Ovis aries: one gene and its partner. The protein of the gene in region 1 interacts with the protein of each later gene in a biochemical or structural test. Links are inferred from orthologs where the notes say so. Each region holds a gene or a part of one and is shown on either strand. Other genes may lie near its edges. The genes, in order: JADE1 and KAT7.

Region 1 (3,816 bases):
TCCCTGGCATTCTCCCAGCACTGATCAGATGGGGAGAAGTTAATCGCTTTCCTCCTGCTAGGCCTCCAGCTTGCTGTGTGGATCAAAGGCACTACATGGTCCTCCTGGTGGGGCAGTGAGTGAGAGGTCGGGCTGGGTAGGCCTGACCTCTGGGCTGACCTTCCTTTCACCTGCTGGCAGTAGGCCCCTCGCGGTTGCACTGCCAGGCCTGCCAGGCGCAGCATGCCCAGGTCTCAGAGCTCGGCCTCATGGGCCCAGAGGCCTCTGCATCTGGCAGAGCTTCCCTAGGGTGCAGAGACTAGTCTCACGCTGTCTGTGCAGGGTGGTCCCAGTCTCTGATTCCTTGCATCTCTTTGGGAGTTTTTAATTCACCTCCTGGGTCTTGAGCAACCCTCACTGCTGGGAGGAGTGTGCCACCCGTGTTGGGCCTCGTCCTGGGGGACACGGGAAGGGCCCCCATGATCCTGTAACATCTCTTCTTGAGGAGATTTCACCACTCAGGCGTTAGAAAAGCTCAGATGGGTAAAAAAGCAAGTGAATGCCTGAGAGTGCACGCTGTGTATTGAGAACATCTGCACGTGCCACCTGTATAATTACGTGGGCCTTACGAGGTGATTCTGGATGCAGTTGCTTTTGTAAGAGAGTTACTGTTTGGTTAATGAAAAAAAGCCTCCTGAATCCCAAGCCATAGCTTATGTAAAACACAATTAGATCTGCCAGGGGTCATCCACGTGAAGCCGTTCTGTCCCTGAGCGCTCCAAGTGCAGCTCTTCCCGTGTGTGTGCGTGTGTGCATGCGGGTACACGCGCGTGCGGGTGGACGGGGTGCTTGCGCTCAGGGCTTCGGGTCCTGTCCCTCCCTAACCCCACCGCTTGCTCTCTGTTTTCTCGCCAGTGCTCCGTGAAGAACTGCCGCACAGCCTTCCACGTGACCTGTGCGTTTGACCGGGGCCTAGAGATGAAGACTATCTTGGCAGAGAACGACGAAGTCAAGTTCAAGTCCTACTGCCCGAAGCACAGCTCGCATCGCAAAGCCGAGGAGGGCCTTGGTGAGGGGACCGCTCAGGAGAATGGGGCTCCCGAGTGCTCCCCGCGGGATCCGCTGGAGCCCTTCGCTGGCCTCGAGCAGAACCGGGGGGAGGCCCACCGGGTCAGTGTCCGTAAGCAGAAGCTGCAGCAGCTGGAGGACGAGTTTTACACGTTCGTCAACCTGCTGGACGTGGCCAGGGCCCTGCGGCTGCCCGAGGAGGTGGTGGACTTCCTGTACCAGTACTGGAAGTTGAAGAGGAAGGTCAACTTCAACAAGCCCCTCATCACTCCAAAGAAAGACGAAGAGGACAATCTAGCCAAGCGGGAGCAGGACGTCTTGTTTAGGAGGCTGCAGCTGTTCACGCACCTGCGGCAGGACCTGGAGAGGGTAATGATCGACACTGACACCTTGTAGTGGCCTAGAGAAGACGACGGCAAAGAGACGGCCGCTTGCCCAGAGCAAGGGACGGTAGCCGGTTCATTTACTCTCAGACCCTGTACATACCGCAGCATGAGGTGGTGTTGGTTCCATATATTAATGGGCTGGGAAACTCGATGTACGCACACGCAAGATGACCGCAGAATGGGGAGCTTCTCTGGTTTAATTTTAAACACTTGTAGTTAACTGTTCTGGGAGATCACATGGGGTACCTCTTTACCCTCCTCCATTCTAGAGCTAGAGGGAACTGAGCCCCGGGGAAATGGCCAGGGGATGGGCTTAGAATTGTTTACAGACTGAAAAGCCAGAATGGATTTTATGGTGTGGGGGCTGGGGCGGGCGGGCAGAGGCAGGCAGATCTTTTGTTCAGTCTGGGGCGGCACACCCGACGTGCTGGTCACTGGCTCTCTGAGGAGAGCGGCGCACTGCTTCTCGGGCCCAGCCCCGTTCCTCGGCTCCTCACGGGGCCGTCGCCCTCGCAGTCACTGACTGAGCAGAGCAGGCGTGGGTGCTAGCCTGCGTGCATCGCCACCGCGCCCCTGCGTGTCTGCTCCCCCAGGCTCTCCCGCAGCGAGGTGCTCCGTCGTCACCGAGGCTGTGTGTGTGTGCCCGTGACTGTGTCCGTGTGTCTGTCTGTCTGCTCTGTCTGGTGTGGGTGTGGGGTGGGATTCCTGGTGCACAGAGGCCTGTGATCTGACTGAGGAGCCCGTGGGCACAGTAGCACACTCCGTTTCACACTTCTGGATCACACTTCAGCCCGCAGTCTCGGCTGGCGGCACTTCCCTTCCGCTGTTGCTGCTTTGTATCTCCCCAGCGTCTCTGGAGTCCCCGTCTGGACCTCCTTTCCTGCTACTGGAATAATCAGGAGCGGGCTGTCTTTCCCCCCTGGCCTCCTGCTCCCCGTAGGTAGCTTCTGACTGAAGCTTACTAATTGGTGATGCATCTCTGAGCACCTTCTGTGGCAGCTCCCCTGATTGCCCTGCTGCCAACAGCCGGCTCCGATTAAATTCATTAGTGCACGGGAGATGGAACGGAGGAGCAGCCTGTGCTGAAAGGCACCCAAGTGGCCTGAAATGGTTAACGCATCTCCCCCAAGCACCTAACTTATTAGTGATTCACCTGCCTGGGAGAGAATCTGACTCAGAGCTGATGGGAAGTGAGAGCGTAGGCAACGAATAGGGTTACGTGGGAGAAGTACCGAACCCAAAAGCCCCGGCTCTCACAGACACCAGCACCACCCTGGCAGAGGAGGCGTGGCAGGGAGAGTATTGGTGGGCCTGCGTTAGAAGAGACTGTTCTAGAACCTGACGGTGACACCGCACCAGGATTCAGGCAGAGGGGAGGCGAGGGGTGTGGAATTGAGGCTCTCCTGCTCCCGTGCCCCCCCTGGTGGTGAGTGTGAAGAAGACCTCGCCTCAATCACAGGTCTGTGTGACCTTTTTTGTTAGCGATGAGAAAAGGGTTCAGAAGGATAAAGTGGAATCCTGGTGAGAAGCCTTGTCCCAGCCCGACAACTGCTGTACTCGGGGTTGCATGAGCTTTGGAGTCAGTCCTCAGGAGGGACGACGAGAAGTCTGATGTTTGGACTGTGTGTGTCTCGATCACCACAGAATAAAAGTGTAGAAAACGCTCGTGGTGTACTAACTTCTGTACTGCAGATACTCAGATTAACACGCACTTGAAATTCTAAAGTTTTTTTTTGAGTCATCACTTGCTTTCTAAGTAGAATGCCAATGATGTATGAGAATAGGGAATAAATCGGGATTTCTGTCTGTGTGGCATTACTTGCGTTTACTTTAAAGAGTCGTTAAGATTTTAGGGCCTTTAGTGTCAGTTTAAGCTTATTAAAATGAAAACCATGTTTTCCAAAATGTGCCACAAGGCCAGTTAGGGTGGAGGCTTTAAAAAATGGAAATCCTGGCCTTGCTGCAGAGAGTACAGTTATTTGTAATTATAAACAGTAGTGGGCAGAAGACTCCTCAGAGCAGGGGTGACAATAAGAACAAATCATAAATTTGTTTTCAAGTGAGTTGAGTCTTGGGTAATTCACACACTAGGTAGTGTAATTCACACTAGGTAATTAACATTTCTTAGTGGTTAATAAGAAGGACATGATCAAGGCATGTGTTCCCTTCAGAACTGAGGAGTGAATAGGCCTCGTTAGAAATGCAGACAACGCTGAGTGATAATGGTGGTTGTTCCTGCAAATACACACCTTGGGGGCGCCTTGCACACCTGCGTTCCAGTTCTGGACCAGACAGGTGACAGGAATGGTCTCCCAACGGTGTGGGGACCTGAAGACACCATTACCGATGAGGCGGGTGCCATGCCAAGTTGCCAAGGCTGCCA
Region 2 (3,024 bases), on another chromosome or scaffold:
CAAACATACACTAAAGTAGCATAATAGTATAAGAAACCCCCCTGTAATGATTATCATTTTATGGCCAGTCTTGTTTTACTTATAGTCACACCCTCAGTTATTTTGGAATCTCTAAAAGTATAATGTCTGTTATACCTCAAAAAGCCCTACAAAACAAAAAATTCCTTAATGTCATAAAATACACTATTCAAATTTTCATTATTTTGTGATTTGATTCTTTAAAAAAAAAAGTTGTTTTTATACAAATACAGATAGAACTGTGTAGCTTATAAATCAGTTTTTAGTTTAGAGGTTCCCGCTCCATCTCTTTTTTTTCTTTGCTATTTATTTAAGTTGGTTATCCAGTAGTTTTAGTTTCCTGAAGTATGAGTTTGCTGACTTCATCCCCCTGGTGTTGAAAGTTAGATGTTTAGCTGTTAAAACTGGAGACTTTGTGAAATTCAGATCATGTCTATTCCCATCTGCTGCCCACCACCAATATTTCATAGGCAGTACTGAGATAATCCATTCTTTTTTTCTTTTAAGAATTTTTAGGGTTACTTAAAAAAAAAATTTTTTTTTTAAATTACTTTATTTTTGGCTGCATTGGGTCTTTGTTGCTTTGCCTGGGCTTTCTCTAGCTTCAGCGAGCGGGGGCTACTCTTTGGTACGCTATTCAGACTTCACATTCCGGTGGCTGCTCTTATTACGAAGCGCAGGCTCTAGGCACTCAGGCTCAGCAGCTTCAGCTCTGGGGCTCTAAGGGTGCAGGCTCGTCAGTTGTGGTGCTCAGGCTTAGTTGCTCTGAAGCATGTAGAATCTTCCTGGACCTGGGATTGAACCCTTACCCCCTGCATTGGCAGGAGTATTCTTGTCCACCTCACCACCAGGCAAGTTCTGAGATAATCCATAAAGTGCAAAAATCTGAAAAAGCTTGAAAGCTATATAGTGAAATGGCTTTCAAATCTGTTTCCATCTACTCTGTTCTCTTTTTTGGCTTGTGGGATCTTAGACCCTTGACCAGGCATCAAACCTGGGCCCCAGGCAGTGAAAGCGCTGAGTCTTAATCGCTGAACTGCTAGGGAATTCCTTATCTACTTTGTTCTTAATGCATACCTACAGATAACTATTAATATTAATAAGTTTCTAGTGCAGGCTTCCACTAGAAGGCTTTTATATTAAATGTCTATTATAAGTAAATGTGAAAACTCATTCGTCCCCTTTTGTTTGTACAAAGGCAGTCAACTGTACTACAGCTAATACATAGCATTGCATTAAATGACTGGACCCTGATGGATATTGCCAAGCAGACTCTATTCCTTAAATCTTTATCCATTTTGGTACGCTGTTCTTATTAGGATGAGATACAGTATCTGCATTGTTCTCTGGCAGGTTATTTGCTTTCCAAAGTGGAAGAAAAAGTTGGCTCCCCAGAACGTCCACTGTCAGATCTGGGGCTCATAAGCTATCGCAGTTACTGGAAAGAAGTGCTTCTTCGTTACCTGCACAATTTCCAAGGCAAAGAGATTTCTATCAAAGGTTGGTTTTTTGCTCTTAGAGAATGTTACCTAAGATGTTTGCTCCTCTGAATATTCTGACTTTTCTGTTTGGCCTGGTTCATGTTTTGTAATCAGCGAAGGTAATGCCACATTCTGTGTTGCATCTGAATATGAGAGCGGAAGGCTAACTGATGTGGACCACTCACCAAGGTGCCTAAGGATTCCAGAGCATTTGGCCCTAGGGACTGGTTATCTGATTTGGTTTCTCAAATTTTAGGTTGCTAACACTTTATTTCACAAAATTCTCAACAAAAGCAAGAAAGAAGAAAAACTTCAAGTCATTTGGCACACACAGGAACTTCTAACATCCTGGAATATTTATGCAAGAGTGAAATAATTTAGTTTGTTCTTTGACTTCAATGTCTATAGGAGCCAAAGTGGTTTCCTGCTGTACTGCCCCTCTTTTGTAGTTATTTTAAGTGGTCAGATGAATACTTTATAAACTTGTGGACAGCTTGGGTCAAGTAGCAAAGATTCCAAATATTTGGAGTCTGTAGATTTCCTTCAAAGGAAAGGGGTCCTTGGTAAGGGAGTGGGGAGGTCTGCATTTTGAGCAAGTAGCTCTTCTGTTTCAGAAATTAGCCAGGAGACAGCTGTGAATCCTGTGGACATTGTCAGCACTCTGCAAGCCCTTCAGATGCTCAAGTATTGGAAAGGAAAACACCTAGTTTTGAAAAGACAGGTAAAGTTTCTGTTAGCCTTTTACTCATTGCTTTATGTCTCTTGAGGCCTAGCAAAGTGGAACCTTCACACCTTAAAGGTAACCTTCCCTTTTTAAAGAGTTTGACTCCATGCAGCTTTTCCTTTGCTCTCACTGTTAGACTTGTCTCCGACTGTACCCTTATCAGAAGCTTCTGGTAAACTCCTGTCTCATACTTGGATGACAGAAGCATTAACAGCTCTAGTTAAGCAGCTTTATGTTGCACTTCTGTCCTTTGATGATTTTCTTACATCAGAGAAGAGTGCCCATCTGTGGAGGAGAATCTCCATAACCTCCAGGGCCTGTAGAAGTGGTTTTAAATTCCTTTAACAAATGCCATCTCAGTTCAGTTCAGTTCAGTTCAGTCACTCAGTCGTGTCCAATTCTTTGCAACCCCATCACAGGCACGCCAGGCCTCCCTGTCCATCACCAACTCCTGGAGTTCAGTCAAACTCACGTCCATTGAGTCGGTGATGCCATCCAGCCGTCTCATCCTCGGTCGTCCCCTTTTCCTCCTGCCCCCAAATCCCTCCCAGAAGCAGAATCTTTTCCAATGAGTCAACTCCTCGCATGAGGTGGCCAAAGTACTGGAGTTTCAGCTTTAGCATCATTCCTTCCAAAGAAATCCCAGGGCTGATCTCCTTTAGAATGGACTGGTTGGATCTCCTTGCAGTCCAAGGGACTCTCAGGAGTCTTCTCCAGTACCACAGTTCAAAAGCATCAATTCTTCAGCGCTCAGCTTTCTTCACAGTCCAACTCTCACATCCATATATGACTACTGGAAAA

The links.
Region 2: the proteins of JADE1 (region 1) and KAT7 form a complex in vitro, tested with the Homo sapiens proteins (2 studies listed by BioGRID). The link is inferred for Ovis aries from reciprocal best matches to the Homo sapiens genes JADE1 and KAT7.

The regions. Positions count from the first base shown.
Region 1 is NC_056070.1:29,204,939-29,208,754, reverse strand, and holds part of JADE1 (protein Jade-1), read left to right. Parts: intron 1-894; coding exon 895-1,416; exon of another isoform or gene 1,417-1,544; intron 1,545-3,816.
Region 2 is NC_056064.1:36,546,618-36,549,641, reverse strand, and holds part of KAT7 (histone acetyltransferase KAT7), read left to right. Parts: intron 1-1,371; coding exon 1,372-1,518; intron 1,519-2,113; coding exon 2,114-2,220; intron 2,221-3,024. UniProt on the Homo sapiens protein: Catalytic subunit of histone acetyltransferase HBO1 complexes, which specifically mediate acetylation of histone H3 at 'Lys-14' (H3K14ac), thereby regulating various processes, such as gene transcription, protein ubiquitination, immune regulation, stem cell pluripotent and self-renewal maintenance and embryonic development.